3 linked regions of the Callithrix jacchus genome follow. The protein of the gene in region 2 binds, or shares a complex with, the protein of the main gene of each other region. Links are inferred from orthologs where the notes say so. Each region holds a gene or a part of one and is shown on either strand. Other genes may lie near its edges.

Region 1 (8,230 bases), on a different chromosome or scaffold from region 2:
GCCTGAACCCAGGAGGCGGAGGTTGCGGTGAGCAGAGATTGCACCATTGCACTCCAGCCTGGGTAACAAGAGCGAACTCTGTCTCAAAATAAATAAATAAAGACAGGGTCTCACTCTGTTGCTTAGGCTGGTGTGCAGTGGTGCAATCACAGCTTACTGCAACCTCTAACTCCTGGGCTCAAGCAATATTTCTTTCCACATAGCTGGGACTACAGGCACATGCCACCACACCTGGCTAATTTATTTATTTATTTATTTATTTATTTATTTATTTATTTATTTATTTATTCATTCATTTACGTTTTTTGTAGAGAAATGGTTTCACTTTGTTGCCCTGGCTGGCCTTAAGTTTCTAGCCTCAAGCAATGCTCCCATCTCGACCTCCCAAAGTGCTGAGATTACAGGTGTGAACCACCATGTTTGGCCGCCACTGAAGTATTTTATACTCAGACAGTAGGGAGCTATAGAATGTTTCTGAGCAGGATAGTGACGTGATCAGAGGAATAGCTTGGGAAGGTTAACTGAGTGGTGCTGTATAGGATGGACTATAGAAAGGGAATGGAGCAGCGGAGACCAAATGGGAAGATGGAATATTAGATATAATACTCTTTTTTTTTTCAGACAGAGTCTTGCTCTATCACCCAGGCTGGAGTGCAATGGCATGATATTGACTCACTGCAACCTCCACCTCTCAGGTTCAAGCAATTCTCTTGCCTCAGCCTCCCAAGTAGCTGTGATTACAGGCACCCAACATCACGCCCAGCTAATTTTTTTATTTTTAGTAGAGATGGGGTTTCACCATGTTGCCCAGGCTGGTCTTGAACTCCTGACCTCAGGTGATCCATCTGCCTCGGCCTCCCAAAGTGCTGGAATTACAGGCATGAGCCACCACACCTGGCCTAAGAAATATATAATATTCTAATAGATATAGTGATTCTATCCTTGAGATCAGTACGGGTTTAGAATAAGATTATGCCAATAGGAATGGAAAAAGAGATGTAGAGGAAGAAGAATTTGTTTTCTAATGGTGAATACGGGATTCAGATGAGCAACTTGTCAGATATCACACAGCCACGAAGTGGGACTAGGACTCAAATCCTACTTAGCCGTGAGGCATTTGGCCTCTGCCTCTAAGGGGAAAGAATTCTCTAAATTTCATTTCTTCCTCCATGCCCAAACATGAATGAAGAAGACGGCTTGTGAGGAAAGGAGAAGAGACTCTCACTCTGCTCATACCAGCCTGCTCATGGCCAGAGGGTGTCCTGGGGACCACAGGAATCTCAAGCAAAGGGATTTTTCCCTTTTCTGGTGGCTGCAGTGCTGATTAGAACTAGGCCAAGAACAAGGGCTACTCCTTCCCGTGGCTTGGAATAGCACTAATAGCCCCTTGATCCGCCCATGCAGGCAGAGGGCACTCCAGGAGGGTTAGCAGGAGGCAGCACTCGTGTGCTCCAGAGCTAAAGCCTCAAGCTGGGAGTAGCTTCCCTGTAGGGTGAGAGGGGGAGGGAGGCAGAGGCCCCGGGGCTTCGTGCCTGCCTCTGAAAAATAGAAGGTGCTGGTTCTGTGTCTGTCAGCTTGCAGGGTCACCCCCTCCTAGCCCAGTATCCTCCATCCCCACCCCCACTACTGCTCTCTTGCTGGCTGTTGCCCTGCCTCCTCCATCTGACTTTCTCAAAGCCCTCTCTCTGGGAGCCCTCTTAGTGGTCCTTCTTTCACTGCAAGCCTTGGCTGGGCATTTCCCATGAGAGAGAAAAATGAGGAAGAGGGTTTGGTGCAAGTAGCTAAGTTGAATAGCTTAGGTAAGAGATTCAACTTCTCTGTGCCTTAGTGTGAAGGCACAGCGATTTGTAAAATGGTCATCATAATATCGCAGTACCAACTTCATGGGATCGTTATGAGAAATTAGTGAATATAAAGGACTGAGAGCAGGGCCTGGCCCAGGGTGCACATCTGCAAACATTATTATTGCTGCTGTTGTCATTCCTGCTCCTTCTTCCCCCTTTCTCTGCTGAGAGAAGATGCCCCAAGTAAGGTCATCCTTCCCTGGCTGAAACGGTGTACCTTGCCTTCTGAAGTTCTCCAGCCCCAGGGCCTATACCTAACTCCCTTCATCCTAGCTGCAGATCTTACTTGGCAAGATGGTCTTGTATCGGTCCTTGGAGGCATGGCCAGGGATGTCCAGGTCTTCGGGGCTGACAAAGTTTGAAGGGATCTTCTGGCAGGGGGAAGAAATGAGTGAGCAGCTGACTCCCCTTCCTAGCCGCCTTTTCTCCTCTTCTATTCTTTTCTAGAACAACTGGGCTCTGGCTGTTCCTTCTTGATATTAATATGTAGGCCTAGATGGGGTGGCTGCAGAAGGCGAAGCCCAGGTGGAGCCCCCTCCCCCAGCCCTAGAGTTCTCTTTCCTAAGGGTCCAAAGAGGAGACAGGCCGACGGTCCCTGTGAGAGAATGGTTCCAGCTGGCTGCCTCTGACACAGAGCAGAGCAATTCAGAAGGGACCTCAATTTCTTACCAAGAATTCTTCTTCCAGCTGCTTGGGGCTGGGTGGCTGGCACTGAAGGGCCCAGCGGGTAAGGGGGTGTCCAGCAGTGCGCAGAAAGTGTAGGGTGACCTCCCGGGGAGTGTTCACGGAGCAGATGGGTTCTACAGCCCCCAGGGACCGGACATCCAGCATCAGAGCCACATTGGAGCCCCGCCTGCAGGCACAGTCCACACTGCCTAGTGAGCACCCAATCGTATTTGTTTTGCTTTTTATCTTTTCTTTTAGGTATAGGGTCTCTCTCTGTTGCCCAGGCTGGAAGGTGATGGCACTATTATGGCTCATAGCAGCCTCAAACTCCTGAACTGAAGCGATCCTCCCACCTCAGCCTCCGGAGTAGCTGGGACCACAGGCACATGCTACTGTGCCTGGCTAATTTAAAATAATTTTTTTTTTTTTTTTTTTTTTTGGTTTTGAACTCCTGGGCTCAAGTGATCCTTCTGCCTTGGCTTCCCAAAGTGCTGGTTACAGGCATGAGCCACTGTGCCTGACCATACTTGCTTTTCTTACAAGTATTACTGTTATGAGGCACCTCTGAGGGGGCCGCTTCTTGTCTTTACTTTAACCTGGAGGCCCAGTGAATTTAGGGTTCAGGCCCCTGCTGTATACATTCCCCCCCGCCCCTTCCTAGCCCAGGCTGGTCTCCAATTCCTGGACTCAAGAGATCCTTCCACCTCAGCCTCTCAAAGTGCTGAGATTTTGGGCATGAGCTACCATGCCGGGCTCAGCCCTGTGTCAGCCAGACAGGGCAGCCTTGAACTCAACTGCTCCTTCCAGCTGCCTGCCTCTTCCCACTCCCAGCCAGGCCCTGTGGCTCTGACGTGCATCCAGCACCAAGAAGGCCACTGGCCTGGCCTGGAATTTAGGGATCAGGCTCAGGGTTGTTAAGAAACTCTGTGCTCCAGACATGCAAAACACATGCAAATGAGCACTACTGGTTTCCTTTGCATACTGGAGTCAACAATTGGACTATGTTGTCAGAGCTGGAGGGGCAGGTGGAGGAAAGGGAGGAAGGGAATGGGGCTCAGGGCCGGGAAGACCCCTCCCCCAGGGGAGATCTTACCTCTCCTGTAGCCGCACATGCTTCTTGGCTGGCGTTTTGGCAGGCAGAGGCTGGGTCATGGCTGCCCCCAAAGAAATGGTCGGTGGCTGGGCTGTGGAGCTCCCTCCACAGGCCTGGACCATGCTGGGGTGGGGTGCTGGGCCCAGGAGAGGCTCACTCAGCCATGAGGTCTGCCTGAAAGACAGGGCCCTCCGCTGCTGTTCCCTGGCCTGCCTGATTGGCCAGAAGGAGGCTTCCACGCCCAGGCCGGCTTTGCGCTCCGTTTTCACTGGGGCATCTCCTGTTTCCCAAGAGGTAGCCTCATGTTCACTACAGGAAGGACAGGATCTCTTTGGTGGGACCCAGGGCAGAAGGCAGTCTGGGGTTAGAGTAACGGCAAGATAAAGGTAGAGATTGTGGATGAAGATAGGAAAGAAGCCAAAAGGAGGAGGAGAGAGAAGAGAGAGGCCACACAGGGCTCTGCGGGTCCAAGTGGAGAAGGCAAGGGAGGAAATGGAAGACATGTGTTCTCTAGGACGGAAGGGAGAAAGCATGCAGAAGCCATCTCGGAGCTAACCAGTGGGCTTTCTCCTCAACAGGGAATGGCAGCTGCAGCAGTGCTGGAGATGGGTGGGCAGCCAGGCAGGCCAGCTCTAGGACCCCGGCAGGGTCCTCTCCTAACTGCTGATGTTCCACTCTTAAGTCCGTTTCTGGCTTCTGGGGTGTCTGTCCAGGGAGGTAGGCTGGGGGTGTTTCCTTCCTCCTCCTGCCCATCCCCCGCCTCCCGCCTCTGTAACCGTCACAGGAAATGGCCTCACCAAGCCCTTGAGCGACAGTGCATGGTGAGGCGACAGCTGGGGGCAAGACAGGGGGCATGCAGATGGTGGGACCATCTCCTCTTGGGGACAGTCTGTATCTCCCAGAGCCAGGGTCACAGCGGGCAAGGTGGTGGGGGTGATTAGTCAGCAAGGCAGGGATGGAGGTAAGGGGACAGGGAGGGTCCGGCGCAGGTGTGGGTGGTAGAAAGAGGGTCTCTGGCAGCAGAAAGGGGGTCTTCAGCCTCCGCTCTCTTTGCAGCTCCCTGTGGCTTCCGTGCTTACCCCCTTCTGGGGGACATCAGGGCTGTGAGCACCCATTCCCCAGCCAGGCCCTGTAGCACCCCACTCGCCCTCCCATACTCCCTCCTGCAGATGCCCCCTTATATCCCTGGAGTTCGCAACCCCCAGGGCCACAGGACTCCCGGTCCCCCTTCAGATACTTACTGAAGCAGCTGTGGCCCCCAGGCTGCCTCTTGCCAGCTGTCTGTCTGTCTGTCAGTCTGTCTTTGAGGGCTGAGAAGGCTTCAGGAAGCCAGCTTCCTCCCTCCGCCCCTCCTTGCTGCCACCCACGCATACCCCAGCTGCATGCTGCCCTCCTGTGCCTGCTGCTGCTGCCACCAGGGGTCGGGTGCCTCCTGCCTCTGCCCTTATGGATCCCAAGGCCCTGTTTCCTGGGAATGGGTGAGGGGCTAGGCCTTTCTACCATCCTGCTTCCCCCGGCTTCCAGACCCTCTCCCGTCCTGCTGTGTTTCTCCTCTGGGTCTTGACCTTGGCCAGAGGCTTTTTCTGCTTCTCTGCCTCTGCCCCACAGCCCTCTCCCTCGAAGCCCTTGCTGCTTCAAGCCTTGGGAATTCATGGCCAAGCACAGACCACATCTTCCCAGAGCAGATGTGACACAGACTTGGGGTGGGGAAAAGGAGGAGGCAAGAATCCATGCCTCACAATGGGAAGGAAAGGCCCCGGCCAGGCCAAAAAGGTCGTCTCCATGCCCTGTGCCACAGCCGGGCTCTCCGTAGGCAGATAGCAGAGTCCACTTGTAGGAGGGAATCTGAGGGGCTTCCCCTGGGCCCCCAATCCCCTGCGGGCCTCCTCCCAGAACCCTGACATCTGCTTGGAAGACTTACAGACAGCAGACAGTCTCTGGCCCTCACAGCAGGGGACTCCCATGTCCTCTTCGCTGCTGGGGTGCCTGGGACCTGAGGGGTGGCCCCCAAGTGCAAGACTCCTCTGCCCCCTGCCCCTGCCTGGCCTTGGCAGGCTCCTTGTGGGCCAGCAGCCCAGCTGGTTCACGCTTGCTGCACGCCTCCTTTTACCTTGTAATATTTCAAACACCCTTCCCTTCCCGGCCCCCAACACGCACAATCCACGTCCTCTTTCTTCCTCCCACTTCCCTGATTCAGCTGTCAAATGGTGACAGCAAAAAAGAAATGAGGTACCATAGGCACAGGGGTAGGCACGCTGGAGGGGGTGATCGGGAGGGGCTGGCTTTCTGCTGGCCCCCTGGGGAGGGCTGGATATGAAGGACAGCAATAACCCTCTGAAACTCAGGAGGCCTCCCAGCACCTGCGCTTGCTCTTGGCAGTGGGGACAGGGGCTGGCTCTTTTCTGAGTCCCTTCATGGCCAGCAGACCCTGGTGCCTTCTTTCCTGCAGCCTGTGCTCCTCTCTGGAGTGGGTGGGTTTCCCTGAGGAGGAGGCGGATTAGGGCTGGGAAAGGGGTTGGCTCCTGTGCTCAGGACAGAGTGGAGAGGAGCGGGAGCCTGAGAGCCCCTACTGTGCTTGCAGGCAGTGACCCAGCGACTGGCCTCTGCCTCACCCCCTACACCAGTCAGTGTTTCCACCGGTGGGTAGCAGGGGCCCTGGGGGTGCAGGAGGGGGCAGGTGGGGGCAGGTGGGGGTTGGAAAGCGGGCTGGGCTCTGGGCCTATGTTGATTGTTATCAAGAACAGGAAGCTAGGACACCACAGGGGTGGGAGGAGGAAGCGACAAAGCCCTCCCCACACAGGTCTGCCTAGTGGCCCCAAGTTTCCAGGGTCCAGGCCCTGTTGGCTGTGAGCCCACCCCTTTCCCCCACAGACTGAGGCCTGGCAATGGTTGAGCAGTTGGAAGCTGAGCTTCTGAGCAAGGAGCAAGGAAACTGGGAGCTAGGAGATGGGCAAGATAGTTGGGGGCGGGGGTAGTGGTTGGGCATTAGGCAGGACCTCAAGGATCCCCCGTTCCCTCTGGGTGGGTCTAGGGTGGAGGGGACAGTCACTCTTTGCCTCCTGCCCACTCTCTCTTCTCCTGTGCTTAGGGATGCCTGGACATCCATGGAGGTGTGTGGCCAGAGCTCGTGAGGGCTGAGGGTGCCCACTGCAGCCTCAGAAGGGACAAGACACCTGTCGGCCTGCACCAGCCCCTCCCCAGCCTGGCCTGGTGACTTGGGTCACCCCTCTCTGACCTGTCTGGAGTGGACTCTGCTCCATCTGGGCTGCTGGGAGGCTCCTGGGAGTGACTCCCTCTCCCCTCCAGAACTTCCCACTCCTGGGGCCGAAAGGTCCCAGCAAGCTCTCAAACTTCCATCACTCGAATTGATTTGTGTTCCTGGGTTGAGATTTAGGTTCTAGCCACCCTCGACTCCAGAGAAAGTATAGTAATAGTCAGAAATCAGAAAGACCTGTGCATGTGAGTCTGAATGTAGCTTATTAGCTGTGTGACCTTGGCCAAGTCGCTGAGCCACCCTGAGCCTCGGTATCCGCCTCGGTCTCCTCCTCAGCTTCCTCCCTCTTCTGGGGGATGTTCACAGCGCCTCCCTCACCAGCTTGTGCAGTGCTTTGCTCATGGAGAGCTCGGGAGTCAGAGGCCAGAGGAGCGAGGAGCTGGAGGAGCTGGCTGGGGAAGTGGGCCTGGGAGCCTGGGAGCGGCACAGGGTGAGGAGGTCATGGGTCTCACCGCTCCCCAGCCTCCCTCTTCCTCCTCACTGCTGACTTTCTCCCCAAAGCCAGGCACTTCCACCCCAGCACTGAGGAGGTTCCCGAAGGAGTCACTCCTGGGGGTCTCCCAGCATCCTGGATAGGGCAGTTTACTCCAGGGAGGACAGAGAGGGGCGTCCCAAACCACCAGGCCAGGCTGGGGCAGGGCTGGTACAGGGCATGACACATCATGAGAGTCAGCCTTATTCCATCTGAAGCTGTGGGGGGTGCCCTCAGCCCTCCCGAGCTCTGGCCATGCACGTCCTGACTCTGTTTCCCCCTCTAGTGACCCCTAGTTCCAGGGCTGTGAGCCACAGCTCCCTGTCCCCAGTATCAGAAGCCCCCCAGGGAAAGCCATTAAATCTGGGATTCCCAGAATTCTTTGCTCCTTGCCAGCCCCTAGCAAGTAAGGAGCTCCTTGCTGGGCTGCAGTTGGCCCCCAGAGGCAAGGGCCACCACCCTCTAATAATCCAAGGGGAGGATCTTGGGGAGAGCGTCAGCTGCTGAGGGCCAGCATTCCTGGGTCCCGCACACTTCACCGGCTCTGCTCCCTCCTAGCTGCCCTCCTCGGCTCCTCTTTAGAGAAGCACCAGGATCTGGGGTGGCTGCTCCTGCATCCTTCCCTCCCCCAGAATCCTAGGCCAGCCTGAGCCGGCTTGTTCTACCCCAACTTTACTGGCCCAGGCTTGTTCCTGTTTGTGTCAGGGAGACAGAACTGGATCTGGGAAGCCCCATCCTGGAGGAGGCAGGGACACAGCAGGGGAGACATGGTGATCGGGAAGTGCTGTTAGGGGCATGGGATGGGTCCAGGCTGACCACAGTGACACCTGTACCCCTATCTCAAAGCTGCACCCCTGTGCCAGGCCTAGGAACTCCTGCTA
Region 2 (7,443 bases):
ACATGGTAAAATCCCATTTCTACTAAAAATACCAAAAAATTAGCTGGTCACAGTGGCAGGCGCCTATAATCCCAGCACTCTGGGAGGCCAAGGCAGGTGATCACCTGAGGTCAGGAGTTCAAGACCAGCCTGACCAACATGGTGAAACCCGTCTCTAATAAAAATATAAAAATTAGCAGGACGTGGTGGCACACGCCTGCAGTCACACCTACTTGAGAGGCTAAGGCAGGAGAACTGCTTGAACCCAGGAGGCAGAGGTTGCAGTGAGCCAAGATCAGGCTGTTGCACTCCTGCCTGGGCAACAGAGCAAGACTCCATCTCAAAAAAACAAAAACAAAAAATGAAAAAAAGAAAACAAAAACAGAAGTAATCATATAAAGAAGAAAACTGGCCAAGTATAGTGGCACATGCCTGTAATCCCAGCACTTTGGGAGACTGAGGCAGGAGGATTGCTTAAGCCTAGGAGTTTAAGACCAGCCTGGGCACCATAATGAGACTCCCATCTCTTAAAAAAAAAAAAAAATTGGCCACATGTGGTGGTGCATGCCTGTAGTCCCAGCTACTTAGGAGGCTGAAGTGGGAGGATCGCTTGAGCCCAAGAGTTTGAGGTTGCAGTGAGGTATGATCATGGCACTGCACTCCAGCCTGGGTAGAAGAGCAGGACTCCATCTCAAAACCAAACCAAACCAAAACACAACCATCTCAACACCTCCAAAAAAAGAAACAAAAGGAAAACTGACACCCAGAGAGGTTAAGCAGTTTGTCTAACAGTCACACAGCTAGTAAGAGACTGGTTTATGGACTGAACACATGAGGTAAGGCTACAAAACCGGTATTCCTAACACCTGATGCTCTAGTGCTCCCTGCAGCACCACCAATTCCCATTTCTCCACTTTCTTAATGTATAGCTTTTCCCTACTTCTTCATTATATTCACCCAATACGAGCACTGAAAACAATTTCCTGGATTTTAGTGGCTAAACAGCTGGGAGTGGCAGTTCACGCCTGTAATCCCAGCACCTTGGGAGGCTGAGGCAGGTGGATTACCTGAGATCAGGAGTTTGACTAACAGGGTAAAACCCCATCTCTACTAAAAATACAAAATTAGGGCCGGGCACTGTGGCTCATGCCTGTAATACCAGCACTCTGGGAGGCTGAGGTTGCAGTGAGCTAAGTTTGGGCCATTGTGCTCCAGGCTGGGTGACAAAGCCAGACCTGTCTACAAAAAAAAAAACCCAGAAAACAAAAACCAAACCAATCCCCCAAAACCCCTCAAAACCAAAATACATTATATAATTACAACCATACAGACAGAAGCTCGCACACATTAGGACAAAAAAAGTGAAAGGTTTTGGCCGGGTGTGGTGCCTCATGCCTGAATGCCAGCACGTAGGGAGGCTGAGGCAGGTGGATCACCTGAGGCTGGGAGTTCGAAACCAGCCTGACCAACATGGAGAAATCCCATCTCTACTAAAAATACAAAATTAGCCAGTAGCGTATGCCTGTAATCCCAGCTACTCGGGAGGCTAACGCAGGAGCATCGCTTGAACCCAGGAGGCAGAGGTTGCGCTGAGCCGAGATCAAGCCATTGCACTCCATCCTGGGCAACAAGAGCCAAACTCTGTCTCAAAGAAAAGAAAAAAAAAAAGTGAAAGTTTACTGTCGGATCCTGGTGATCAGGAGTAGTTCTTACTCCCTTACCTATTCCTCCTATATGACATTCTTCTATACATTTATATGAGAGATTAAAAGAATGTTTCTCCCATCTTCAAAAGAAATTCAATTCTAAACAACCAAGTATTTCTAAACCTTGACTCAGGTCAATACATAAAACCAATTCAACATTTAAGAAGACAGTTGTTAAATATACAAATACACATATATTCATACATGCATTCACACATATAGATAAAATACCAAGTTAGAAATAGCTAAATTTATAATACAAAACTGGATAAAAATGCTGTAAGATCATTAACAATAAGTACTGATGTGGAAAAGATATTTAAGACACAATTCTATTAACAATGACACATTTAGGGAATAATTATAAAAGAATTTCACCTTCTTAAATATTTCTACAATTTCTAAATTTTTAAAAAAGTTAACCTTTAAATAATTAAAAAATAAATTATAGAGAAAATATGCACACATATGTAGATAAAGATACAGAAGGACAAGTACCTTATTCAGATTCCCTCCTCCACTTTTAAGGTATCCTGTTTTTATAAATTAGCCCACCTAGATAATCCACCCAGCTAGATAGATAATCCAGGATAGTCTTCCTAGCTTAAAAGTCAGCTGATGGGCTACTCTGGGCATACCACACTGGCCATGGATTAGCCTTGCTCTGTAAGGAGCAGTTAAAAAAAAAAAAAAGTCAGCTGATGAACAACCTTGATTACATCTGCAAACATAATTGCTGTTTGCCAGATAACCTAACATAGTTATAGGTTCCAGAGATTAGAATACAGTCATGGGGGTGAGTGGAGGTCATTATTCTGCCTATTGTGGTTTTATAATAGCATAAAGTTTTAAAAACTAGCTGCCTAATATATTTAACAGGTATGCATTAATAAGGAATAAAGGATAATACAATTATTTAACAAAGCTAACCTGAAAAAAAAGGATAAAAATGGAATGTAACTATTTTCTTTTACAGTTGCTCTAAAATATCTCCACCTAACCTAAGGTCATGAAGATTCTCTTGTTTTCTTCTTGAAGGTTAATAATTTTAGGTCTTATATTTAGGTTTATGGTCCATTTTTAGTTTTGCAAATTTTGCATATGGTTGTCTAATTGTTCCAGCACCATTTCTTGAATAGACTGACACAAGCAATGAAATGAATTTTTCTAAATCTCAAATGCAGTATGCTGAACGTGAGAATCTAGACATAAAAAGGTTACATACTCTATGATTCCATTAATACGACATGCCGGAAAAGGCAAAACTATAGGGATAGGTATCAGATCAGTGATTGCCAGAGATGGGTTAGAGAGGGACAACCGACTACAAATGGCACAAGGCAACTTCTGAGGATGATGGGAATATTCTGTATCTCAATTGTGGTGGTAGTTACATGACAGTTTATGTTTACTAAAACTCAATAGGCCCACACAACTAAAAAGTATGAATTTTATTCTGTGTAAATTATTCTTCAATAAACCTGACTTTAAAAACTATCAAGTGACAAGATAAAAAGGTGTAATTTGTTTGCAGGGTCCTAGACTTCCCTAAAAGTGTGACCTTAGGCTGGGCATGGTGGCTCACACCTGTAATCCTGGTACTTTGACAGGCTGAGGAGGGCAGATCATGAGGTCAGGAGTTCAAGACCAGCCTGGCCAGCATGATGAAAACCGTCTCTACTAAAAATACAAAAAAATGAGCCGGGCATGGTGGTGGGTGCCCGTAAGCCCGGCTACATGGGAGGCTGAAACAGGAGAACTGCTTGAATCTAGGAGGTGGAGATTGTAGTTAGCTGATATCGGGCCACTCTACTCCAGCCTAGGTGACAGAGCAAGACTCCATCTCAAAAAAAAAAAAAAAAAAAAAAAAAAGTGACTTTAGTGCAAGTTAAAATTAACAAAGAAACCAAAAGGTGGAGAACTAGACGGTCATTACCAGGCTCCCTTACTGCACTGCCACTGTTTCCAAAAAAAAAAAAAAAAAAAGGGAGAGACAGTAATTCAGAGTGAGCACTAAAGAAAGCATTATCCAATAGCTACAGGCTCACTTTTCAGGCTAGTGACCTAACAACTGAACAAATAAATGCGAAGCTAAGCCTTAGAAAAAAACTAATCAACGACATAACATTTACCTTTCGAGTCAGCATTTGGAAACAGCCTGTTCCATGGCACTTTATTTTTGTGTGGAAGAGAAAGCAAATAGTTTCTAGCTTTTAAATTTATTATACAATTCAGGTCTTCTTGTGATGGGGATCCAAGAATACCTATCAGATAAAATAATTAGCTGTTAGTTATCAAGACAAAGGCAAATGACTACACACCATTAACTGTGGGTCAGAATGAACCCTGGTAATTAATGTCTTATCACCACTCCCAAAGCTTACCTTTCTCTTACGTTTTTACACAGAAGTCCTTAAGACTTTTTTTTTTTTTTTTTTTTTAAGGTCAGTGTCCAGGAAAGACATTGGTTGGGAGGTTATTTGCTTAACATTTTTAATAAGGGAAGGCTAAAAATTCACACCTACCACAGGCTAAAGAGTTATTAGAACTCTTCTTAATTTAATGAAGTGACTTTGATGTAAGCTGTAGGCAGGCAAAGTGAGTAAATCTAGCTACTGAAGGGCTCGGGAACCTTACCCAGAATGTGGTTCAGCTGGTCAAGATAATGCTTCCCTGGAAAGATGGGCCTGTTAGAAAGCATTTCTGCCAGAATGCAGCCTACAGACCAAATATCAATGGACTTGGTGTAGCCCTGTAGGAGAAAGAGAAAAGACTGAGAATGATATCTGGTCATACAGGATGAGATCTTCCTGTGTGACAGGTGCATTGCTGATGGGAGTTTGAACTTCTCCGTTGACTCTAAAACTCAGACAGACAAGTAAGCAGCATGGAAAAACAAATAATAATTTGGCTTTCTTATGAGAGGCTGAACAGTTTAAGATTATGTGATTTTATTTTTCTCTTCAAAGTTGATTAACATGGGCCAGGCGTGGTGGCTCATATCTAATCCCTGCACTTTGGGAACCCAAGGCGGACAGATCACTTGAGGCTAGGAGTTTGAGAACAGCCTGGCCAACATGGTAGAACCTCGTTTCTACTAAAACTACAAAAAAATTAGCCAGGCATGGTGGTGGGTGCCTGTAATCCCAGCTACATGGGAGGCTGAAGCAGGAGAATCACTTGAACCTGGGAGGCAAGAGACTGCAGTGAGCCAAGAGCATGCCACTGCATTCCAGCCTGGGTGACAGAGCAAGACTCATCTCAAAAAAACAACAGTTGATTAACTTGTTAGATTAGAATTTCCAAATTATACATCAGTCCTTTTTTGAAACAATTTGAGAGACAGATTCAGAATTGTCATAAATTGGAGCTGGAAAAAAAATTTAAAAAGTCTAAAAACCTGGATTTCTGGGTTGGGGGGAAGTATGTGCTAGCTCCATCATATTTTACCAATCTCTTATTAAAAATATTCTCACCCCAAAACCTAAAATGCAATAAAAAAGAAAAAAAAAATATTCTCAGCCGGGCACAGTGGCTCACGCCTGTAATCCCAGCACTTTGGGAGGCCAAGGTGGGTGGATCACCTGATGTCAGGAGTTCGAGACCAGCCTGGTCAACATGGTGAAACCCTATCTCTACTAAAACTGCAAAAGTTAGCTGGGCACCTGTAGTTCTAGTTAGGAGGCTGAGGCAGGAGAATCGCCTGCATTGAGCCAAGGAGGCAGAGGCTGCATTGAGCCAAGAACTGCACCACTGCACTCCAGCCTGGGAGGCAGAGCAAGACTCCATCTCAAAAAAAAAAAAAAAAAGAAAAAAAAAAGAGTTCACTGATATGATTTCAGATTCCACAATGCAATTAACCTTTAAGAAACTACCACTTGTTCAAATTGGGGGTAGTATCAAAGAACAGCCATAAGTAGCTGAAAAAACTACTAAAATTTCCCTCCTTTTATCAGCTACATACCTGTGTGAAGTTTTCCTTATTAACTTAAACCAAAACAACATATTTGACAGACTGAATGCCAAACCAGATGAGAATCCAACTGTAAGCCAGACATTAAACAGACTTGCAAAAATAAAAACAATGCCACTCTTCTCACTAAAAGTTTTTTATTTTATTTTATTTAAAGACAGGGTCTCACCCTATCACCCAGGCTGGACTGCAATGGTGTGATCATGGTACATTGCAGCCTCTATCTCCTGGGCTTGAGAAATCCTCCCATCTCAGCCTCTTAAGTGACTGGGACCATAGGTGCATGCAACCACGCCCAGATGATTTAAATTTTTTTCCTTTTTTTTTTTCAGATGCATTCTCGCTGTGTCACCCAGGCTGAAGTGCAATGCCTCGATCTCAGCTCACTGCCACCTCCACCTTCCAGGTTCAAGCAATTCTCCTGCCTCAGCCTCCTAAGTAGCTAGAATTACAGGTATGTGCCACCACACTCGGCTAATTTTTATATTTTTAGTAGAGACAGGGTTTCACCATGTTGGTCAGGCTGGTCTTGAACTCCTGACCTCATGATCCATCCACCACCCCCTCCCAAAGTGCTGGGATTACAAGGGTGAGCCACAGCGCCCAGCTGATTAAAAATTTTTTTTGTACACAGTCTCACCATGTCACCAGGGCTGGTTTCAAACTCCTGGTGATTCTCCTGCCTTGGCCTCCCAAAGTGTTGGGATTATAGGCCTCAGCCATCATACCAAGCCTCACTAAAATGTTTTTATTGTAGAAAATAAACTTATTCTTATGAAAAACACAGAACTTATGTTAACATATAGTGGATTTACTATTTAAAAATTAATACATTTTAAAGTTTCATACTGTAAATAATAGATATAAAAAAATGTGTGTGGGTTGTTAATTTTTTTTAAGAAGACAGTCTCACTCTGTTACCCAGGCTGGAGTACTGTGGCACAGTACTCAGCTCACTGCAACCTCCACCTCCCAGGTTCAAGCAATTCTCATGCATCAGCCTCAAAGTAGCTGGGATTAGAGGCATGTACCACCATGCCCAGTGCACTTTTGTATTTTTAGTAGAGGTTTAGTTTAGGTTTCTACATGTTGGCCAGTCTGGTCTCGAACACCTGGGCTCAACTGATACACCCGCCTCAGCCTCCCAAAGTGCTAGGATTACAGGCGTGAGCCATTACGCCCAGATGGTCCTTGATAATTTTTAAAAAATGTAAAGGGATCTTGGCTGGGCCTGGTGGCTCGGTGGCTCGTGCCTGTAAACCCAGCAATTTGGGAGGCCGAGGTGGGTGGATCACTTGAGCCCAGAAGTTTGAGACGAGCCTGGCCAACATGGCAAAACCCTGTCTCTATTAAAAAAAAAAAAAAAAAAAAAAATACAAAAATTAGCTGGGCATGGTGGTTCAAGCTATAGTCCCAGCTACACAGGAGGTGAGGAGGGAGATCACTTGAGTCCAGGAGGGGGAGTTAAAAAAAAAAGAGGCCAGGTGCGGTGATTCATGCCCGTAATCCCAGCAGTTTGGCTTTGGGAAGCTGAGGTGGGTGGATCACTTGAGGTCGGGAGTTTGAGACCAGCCTGACCAACATGGTGAAACCCCATCTCTACTAAAAATAGAAAAATTAGCCACACCCGTAATGCCAGCTACTTGGAAGGCATAAGAATCGCTTCAACCTGGGAGGCAGAGATTTTTTAAAAAGGGGGGGGAAGGGGAGAGGGGAAAGGGAAGGGGAAGGGGAAGGGGAGGAAATGTCAAGGGATCTTGATGAGAATGGCTACCTTATACATTT
Region 3 (8,052 bases), on a different chromosome or scaffold from region 2:
TTTGTAAATGGGGATAATTTACATGGGTTTTCTGAAGACTGTCCGAAATTATGCACGTAAACACAGAAACAAGATGGTACCTATCATGCCCAGTACACACTGTTGTATCTATTTTATCAGTTTGCTGTGGCTGGTGAACAAGGTGTTTCAAAGGTGACCGTAGGGAGAAGTTAGAAATGTAGCTGGGTCCATTCTGATAACCTTGCTAAAGAATTTTGATCCTGGTCTATAAGAACACCTCCTTTGCTTGACAGCTGTATTAGAACGGATTAAATCGGTTAGGGTAGTACCTTAGAGGGCTTTGCTGCAGATGAGCCAGTCCAGGCGTGCTGTGAGGCAAGCCTCAAAGGGCATCTGTGGAATGCCAAAACCATCCCCCCAACCGAGGCCTTTTCACAGGTTCTCAATTCAGAAGGATAAAAAATTAACTCAAATCAGCTAATAGCACCCCATCACCATTTTAGGACATTTCACCCTACCCATTTTGTCGTCACAGGGAACATGAAGCAGACAGTTTTATATTAATTATGCCGACGTGGAAGACTGCAACTTACAACCGCTAGATGATTTAACTAAGGGCGCACACCTAGATAGAAGCTGGATACATAATTCAAACGACGGTCGTCTCACTCCAGAAGCCCTTTACGCAGCATTTCTAGGACTGAGCGGTCAGAACGTCACTTTAATCAATATGCCAGGAAAGACTGGCATTCCCCTGGCGAAAGAGTTCAGAAGCATGGGTAAAACTAGTTTCGATGTGTCCTCCTGAATCTATAGTCATATTCAGGTAGCTGCACTTTTAAAACAGGCAAAGTGGAAACCCAGCTTCCCTCCTTTTCTCTTCTGTTGGAGGTCCTGGGCTGCACCTCCAACAGGTTTGTTCTTCCCAGTTCCGCTTCAGGACACCCTGCCTCTTCCCTCACTGTCCCCAGGTCCCAATGACTGAAACGTCTTGGTATGGGAACTTCTGTGACAGATCGGGGAGGACAGGGGGAGTCAACTCCAGCGCAGGCCTCCCCCGGCTGAAAACTAGAAGATATCCAGTGAAATACAGGAGTTTAGTTCCAAGGGCTGCCCAAAAAAGGTGCGGAGAGGAGAGCGGCAATCTCCACCTTCGTCGAACACGCTCCTCCCGGGGCGGCCTGCCTGCAGCAGAGCTCCAAAATTGGCAACCCGGGCCTCGCAGCCGCCTTTTTTTAGCCTACATTTCCCAAACCAGGGAAGAGGCGGCTGACTAAAAATGCAAATTGCAGCAGGGGCGTCAGCAGGCATGCCCGTGGGTGCGGGGCGTCGGGCGAGGGGAGACCCCGCGACCTTAGGCGCCCTCGCGGTGCTGGGTGGGCGCAAAGCGCTGCGAGGGACGCTACCCAAAGCCGCACCCCGCCGGGAGGCTGCCCCGCTTCCGCCTCCCAGGCAGCGGCGGGACAAAGCGCGGCCTCTTTTCCGCCGGGGTTTAGGGAGGGGATGCCGGATTAGGGCCCGCGCCTTCCGGCCGCAGCCCTCCCGCTCCAAGCCGGCCGCTCGCAGGTGGTTTTCCGCTCGGGAGGGTCAGGCCTCGGCACTTTTATATAACAATAGAGCTGTGCGCGCCGGGAACGCGCCTCCCCGCCGCCGCGGCCCCCACCCGGCCACGCCTCCATCCGGCTTCCAGTCCATCCGCCCCGCGGCGCCTGAGTCAAGCGCCGCGAGCTGGCCTGGCCAGCACCTCCGCAAGTTACCTGCTGGCTCTGTAGGGCGGTAGGGACGTTCCCCGCGACTCCTTGAGAGCCAAGGGCCGGGGGGGGGGGGTCCCGGCAGGCACTCGTCCTTGCTCCCCCCACCACCCGCCCCAGATCTCTATGGAACCCGGAGTTCCCCGCTCAGCCCCGCACCCGTCCACTGGATCGCGCAAAGCCTCGTGCCTGCCAAGTGGGGAGACGGGGGCAGCGGGGCGGTGGCAGGGAGCGCAGCGCGCAGGCGCGGCTGGTGCTCTAGGGAGTGCCAGGCGCTGGACAAAGGGAGGAGGCGGCGGCAGGAGGGGGCTGGGGAGGCCCCCTCTGGCATGCCTCCCTGCCAACTGTAACCAATAGCGGACCCCCCCCCCCCCCCGCTGAGCCCCCGGAGCCTACAGACCTTGCGGGAGGACTTCCCCACGCCTCGCCAATGGCGGGGACTACCGGCCCGGCCCTGCGTGTCCCAGCACACTTCATCCAGGCAGTCCCGCCAGACCGGCTCCTCCGTCAGAAGCCGAGCTCCTTGCCCAGAAATCATTAACCAACGCGACCCCCCAGCAGGCGGTGATGGTGGTGGGGTCGGGGGAAGAGATTTAGATCTCCAGAACAATGGCTCGTAACTCCCCACGCCGCTGGAGCGGAATACAGTAAAAGTACTGGACTGCCCTAAGAGTTTGTTTCTGTATTCCACATTGTTTTAAAGAAGATAAAATGCTACTTTAAGAAAAAAGGTTTTCTTCTGATTTTCTGGACAACCAAACATTTGTTTGCTTTAAAATGTTTCAACAGAATCCCGGCTTGTTTCGAAAGATGTTGGATTAGCATTTAACACCTCATCGGTCACTAAAGCCCCGTCAGTTCACCAGCCCCAACACAGTCTCGGCTAAAAGAACATCAGAGCAAACAGAGCTGGGGCTTTAAAGCTGGCAAACAAATACCACACACCGCCTAGAGAAGGGGGGTTGGGGCGAGGAGGATTAAAGCGAACTTGGGTCCAAATGAGTTAGAAGGGGATACAAAGAACAAAAAGTCAGCGCAAGTTTTCCTAAAGCTAGCTCCGGAACGCAAGCGTCGCGAACAAGGGCTTTTGTGCATGCTAATTGCGCCATTGGTGCGCAAAAGTTCCGACGCGAAGTGTGAACTCTCAACAGAAGGAAACATGAGACAACTGAAGTGCCCTGGCTTATGTGCCCTGCTCCTCCTCTGCTGCCGCCTCCCCTTCTTTCTCCTTCCTCCCGCCGAGCCCGCTGTTGCAGCTTGTTTGCACTGGGGCTTATCCGGAGCGGAAATTCCTTTCCGTTTTTGTGAATGACAAACTCATTAACAATTCATCAACACAACCTGTTCCAGCCGGCCCGTCCCCACGGCAACAGCCCCTTCCGCAGCTCGCTCATTGGCTGGCCCGGAGAATGTATCCATTGAGACGCTCGCTGTTTGTATCCATTGAGGAGCTGCCTCGCACTGGGGGTGTGCGAGGCTGAGTCCCAGGGATAGTGAGCAAATCGAGTCTTAAATAATCCGAGGAGAAAGACGCCCGGGTAGATTTGAGGTGCAGCCTTGGAGGGAGGGATTAGGAGCCGCTAGACATTTTTTTCCTTCCCTCTCAGTAACACGGAGTCCGAATTAATTGGATTTCATTCACTGGGGAGGAACAAAACTGTCTGGGCAGCTTCATTGAGAGAGATTCATTGACACCAAGAGCCAGCGGCTGCAGCCGGGTGCAGAGAGAACCTCTGGCTTCACTTCTGTCTCGTTTTCCCCAATCGCCAGCCTCGGCTTGGGTGAGGCGAGGCGGACTTAAACCCCGCTCTGAGAGCGGCAGCTTCGCGCGCGGTGCGCTCGGCCTATGCCTGCCCCGAGGGGCGTCTGGTAGGCACCTCGCCCTCTCCCGCAGCTCGACCCCCATGATAGATACGCTCAGACCCGTGCCCTTCGCGTCGGAAATGGCGATCAGCAAGACGGTGGCGTGGCTCAACGAGCAGCTGGAGCTGGGCAACGAGCGGCTGCTGCTGATGGACTGCCGGCCGCAGGAGCTGTACGAGTCGTCGCACATCGAGTCGGCCATCAACGTGGCCATCCCGGGCATCATGCTGCGGCGCCTGCAGAAGGGCAACCTGCCCGTGCGCGCGCTCTTTACGCGCGGCGAGGACCGGGACCGCTTCACCCGGCGCTGCGGCACCGACACAGTAGTGCTCTACGACGAGAGCAGCAGCGACTGGAACGAGAATACGGGCGGCGAGTCGGTACTGGGGCTGCTGCTCAAGAAGCTCAAGGACGAGGGCTGCCGGGCGTTCTACCTGGAAGGTACGCGCCCGGGGAACTCAGCTTGCGGGACAGGGCGCAGGGCTGCGGGCCGGGCGCGTGGACTAAAAATGCCTCTGCCGCTGGCGCTTCAGAGCCGCGCAGCTTGCCCAGGGGCCGGCAGCGGCGAGGTAGGGGCCGCGACCCGCGCGTTCCGCACCGGAGAACCGGGCAGGGGCAGAATCCACCCGCTTCCGGCCGCGGTTACCGGCCGTTTCTTTCTAACGGGTTCTGAGCCCTTCTTACCCAGAACATCCTCTACCATCACCCTGTTTTCTATCGTTCGATTTTGAATTAAGATTTGCAGGACCGGAGAGGTTGTTGGGGGTGCAGATTGGCACATCCTAGTTTCTCAAAATATTCCCAAAAGTTGCCATTTTGTATATTTCCGGATTTAAACGAATAAGGGTTCCCTGGCGAGGCGGGCCCGTTCGTTCCATTCCCAAGGGTGCACATTTAAAGTGTGTTTCTCTTATTATGTATGTCGGGGGGGTTTGTAGGGTGCTTGTGGTGTTTCTTACGCCGGGGTGGTTCTTACAAGCTGTGAAAACTACTACGACTTCTCGGGTTACACGATTGCTTTTCTCGTTCTGGCAGGTGGCTTCAGTAAGTTCCAAGCCGAGTTCGCCCTGCATTGCGAGACCAATCTAGACGGTTCGTGTAGCAGCAGCTCGCCGCCGTTACCAGTGCTGGGGCTCGGGGGCCTGCGTATCAGCTCTGACTCTTCCTCGGACATTGAGTCTGACCTTGACCGAGACCCCAATAGTGCAACAGACTCGGATGGTAGCCCACTGTCCAACAGCCAGCCTTCCTTCCCAGTGGAGATCTTGCCCTTCCTCTACTTGGGCTGTGCCAAAGACTCCACCAACTTGGACGTGTTGGAGGAATTCGGCATCAAATACATCTTGAATGTCACCCCCAATTTGCCGAATCTCTTTGAAAACGCAGGAGAGTTTAAATACAAGCAAATCCCCATCTCGGATCACTGGAGCCAAAACCTGTCCCAGTTTTTCCCTGAGGCCATTTCTTTCATAGGTGAGACTAATTAGTAGTCGTTGCTCTGACATTTAAATGCAAAATTCCCAGCCATTCATAGAGTTTAAGCTGTTAATCGTTCTTTCTGCTTGCTAATTTGTCAGACTAAAGGTCTCTAATGTTTCTAGAGCGTCCTTAATTCTGTATTATTTTCTTGCTAAGGGAAGAAAACCTGCCTTTTGACATGGATGCAGATCACCTATTTGAAATGCTGTTTCTTGAATCTTTGAATTCAGTCATTTGACGGGGGTTGGGATCGTTCATAATTGGAAAACAGATTTTTCCCACAGTCTTTGGACTCAGGGGAAGGGTCAAATAGAAGTACTCACTATACACAGGAATTCCAGCATTGCTTTATAATTTAAAAACCTAGGAGTTATATTAGGACGTCAAGTTAGTTGTTGGAAAGCAGTATGAATGCTGAGTGTTACCCAGTTGAATGATACTGTGATACTGGTAACAGTGAGACAGTGGGTAACCTGAGCCCAGCAGGAAGAACTGTGGGCTGGAAGCCTGGGAGAAGTGAATCTCTAGGCATTGTAATGCACTTCCTATTACAAAGGAACTCATTTTCAAGCCATGTCGACATCCTGTTCCTCCTAATGGGCTGTCCCCTGTGACTTCCCTCTCTCTTTTAAAATGCCTGAATACCTCCATTGTTAACTGCACAACATTTGGAGAATAATTTAATAGACCCTTGCAGTCTGCTTGTCTGTATAAAAGGCATTCACGAACATATTGCAGGGTTTCTGGTATTCACATGCTGAGGCAAAGAATGCACCCATTAAGGAGTTTTTTGTTGGCAGAAACTTAATACAAAAGCTCTCTTTTTAGAAAACATCTGAAATATGTAATTGTGTCCACTGTACATGTTTTATTTCAGTGATACATTTTCCATTGCCCGTATGGCTCAACAGCCACACACAATTATTATTATTATTAAAGTTCAGTTTTTAGACTGATCATTCACAAAGTATATTTTCAATACACTGAGATCTTGCTTTTCTTTTTGTGTTCACAGATGAAGCCCGGGGCAAGAACTGTGGTGTCTTGGTACATTGCTTGGCTGGCATTAGCCGCTCAGTCACTGTGACTGTGGCTTACCTTATGCAGAAGCTCAATCTGTCGATGAATGATGCCTATGACATTGTCAAGATGAAGAAATCCAACATATCCCCTAACTTCAACTTCATGGGTCAGCTGCTGGACTTTGAGAGGACGCTGGGACTCAGTAGCCCCTGTGACAACCGGGTTCCAGCACAGCAGCTGTATTTTACCACCCCTTCCAACCAGAATGTCTACCAGGTGGACTCCCTGCAATCCACGTGAAAGACCCCACACCCCTCCTTGCTGGAATGTGTCTGGTCCTTCAGCAGTTTCTCTTGGCAGCATCAGCTGGGCTGCTTTCTTTGTGTGTGGCCCCAGGTATCAAAATGACACCAGCTGTCTGTACTAGACAAGGTTACCAAGTGTGGAATTGGTTAATACTAACAGAGAGATTTGCTCCATTCTCTTTGGAATAACAGGACAAGCTGTATAGATACAGGCAGTAGGTTTGCTCTGTACCCATGTGTACAGCCTACCCATGCAGGGACTGGGATTCGAGGACTTCCAGGTTTATAGGGTAGGACCAAATGGTAGGGTAGGAGCATGTGTTCTTTAGGGCCTTGTAAGGCCTTTCCTTTTGCATCTGGAACTGACTATATAATTGTCTTCAATGAAGACTAATTCAATTTTGCATATAGAGGAGCCAAAGAGAGATTTCAGCTCTGTATTTGTGGTATCAGTTTGGAAAATAAAAAATCTGATACTCAATTTGATTACTGTAAATATTTTATCTTAAATCACTTGATAGTGTTTGTTTGAATTATTTGTTTTTTCCTTTGATGGGCTTAAAAGAAATTATCCAAAGGGAGAAAGAGCAGTATGCCACTTCTTAAAAGAAGAAAGAAAGAAAATTGTGCTCTTTTCTAATCCAAAGGGTATATTTGCAGCATGCTTGACTTTACCAATTCTGATGACATCGTTATGGACACTATTATTGCTAAGACCTTGTTATGGTGAAATCTTTAGTCTTTTTCATGTGTCTTCCTCATGATTTTTTTCTCTTTATGTAGTTTGATTATGCCTTACCTTTGTAAATATTTTGGCTTGTGTTGTCTCAAAGGGGATAATCTTGGAAACACACCAAATCATGGGCTCACTTTTTTTTTTCTTAAACTTCAGCTGTGCTAAACAGTATATTACCTCTGTATAAAATTCTTCAGGGAGTGTCACCTCAAATGCAATACATGGGTTGGTTTCTTTCCTTTAGAAAAAATTTGTATAAAACTGGAAGTGTGTGTGTGAGCATGGGTACCCATTTGATAAGAGAAATGCATTTGATTGTGAAGAAGGGAGAGTTAAATTGCTCCATTATGTTCGTGGTGTAAAGTTTTGAGCTGGAATTTATTATAAGAATGTAAATCCTTAAATTATTAATAAATAACTATTTTGGCTATTAGATGTGTTTTGTTTTTAAAATATCTCATTAGTTATACCTACATGTGAAGTGACACATTTTAGAAATTTTTCATTCAGGGATTGACTTTGACTTGTAGGCATAGCAGGGCAAAGTTCTTAACTTTTAAAGCTTTTCCTGGAATGTTTTTCAGGGGCAGTTTATGAAATTCATCCTTTGTCACAAAAAAGGATGACATCCTAGAATGGACTGACTATCATGTATATGAACAATACCTTTTATAAGTATAGTTCAGCCTTAAGATTTTAATGCCTCTGAAGAAAAATGAAGCTATAGAGCATAGGTTGCTGAGAAATAAAATTTGGATATTAGTGAATAGCCACAGAGAGGTGTAGCACAATAAGCTGACAGCCACATACTAACCTCCCCTCTATCCTTCACCGTCAGGATTCTTTGCTCAATAATGCTGAAGGATGCCAAGGAGAAAGTAGGAATAATTCTTTTTCCATGTGTTGTCACTGCCTGGCAATGCTACCTGCATAT

Evidence for each region. The genes of interacting proteins can lie anywhere in the genome.
Region 1: the proteins of MAPK1 (region 2) and PTPN7 are in contact, whole or in part, in a crystal structure (PDB 3D42), measured with the Homo sapiens proteins. The link is inferred for Callithrix jacchus from reciprocal best matches to the Homo sapiens genes MAPK1 and PTPN7. Residues at the interface, in NP_002736.3 of Homo sapiens: Thr185, Glu186, Tyr187, Val188; in NP_001351807.1 of Homo sapiens: Arg124, Tyr125, Lys126, Ile128, Asp257, His258, Ser292, Ala293, Gly294, Ile295, Gly296, Arg297, Gln335.
Region 3: the proteins of MAPK1 (region 2) and DUSP6 are in contact, whole or in part, in a crystal structure (PDB 2FYS), measured with the Rattus norvegicus proteins. The link is inferred for Callithrix jacchus from reciprocal best matches to the Homo sapiens genes MAPK1 and DUSP6. Residues at the interface, in NP_446294.1 of Rattus norvegicus: Glu79, Glu107, Thr108, Leu113, Gln117, Leu119, Asp122, His123, Tyr126, Phe127, Gln130, Thr157, Thr158, Cys159, Asp160, Tyr314, Asp316, Asp319; in NP_446335.1 of Rattus norvegicus: Arg64, Arg65, Leu66, Gln67, Lys68, Gly69, Asn70, Leu71, Pro72, Val73, Arg74.

The regions. Positions count from the first base shown.
Region 1 is NC_133520.1:29,189,637-29,197,866, forward strand, and holds the start of PTPN7 (tyrosine-protein phosphatase non-receptor type 7), read right to left. Parts: upstream 4,903-8,230; 5' UTR 4,137-4,902; coding exon 3,604-4,136; intron 2,698-3,603; coding exon 2,514-2,697; intron 2,216-2,513; coding exon 2,131-2,215; intron 1-2,130. UniProt on the Homo sapiens protein: Protein phosphatase that acts preferentially on tyrosine-phosphorylated MAPK1. Plays a role in the regulation of T and B-lymphocyte development and signal transduction.
Region 2 is NC_133502.1:193,753,008-193,760,450, forward strand, and holds part of MAPK1 (mitogen-activated protein kinase 1), read right to left. Parts: intron 4,438-7,443; coding exon 4,323-4,437; intron 3,950-4,322; coding exon 3,818-3,949; intron 1-3,817. UniProt on the Homo sapiens protein: Serine/threonine kinase which acts as an essential component of the MAP kinase signal transduction pathway. MAPK1/ERK2 and MAPK3/ERK1 are the 2 MAPKs which play an important role in the MAPK/ERK cascade.
Region 3 is NC_133510.1:91,813,210-91,821,261, forward strand, and holds DUSP6 (dual specificity protein phosphatase 6), read left to right. Parts: upstream 1-3,150; 5' UTR 3,151-3,616; coding exon 3,617-4,016; intron 4,017-4,610; coding exon 4,611-5,048; intron 5,049-6,069; coding exon 6,070-6,377; 3' UTR 6,378-7,551; downstream 7,552-8,052. UniProt on the Homo sapiens protein: Dual specificity protein phosphatase, which mediates dephosphorylation and inactivation of MAP kinases. Has a specificity for the ERK family. Plays an important role in alleviating chronic postoperative pain.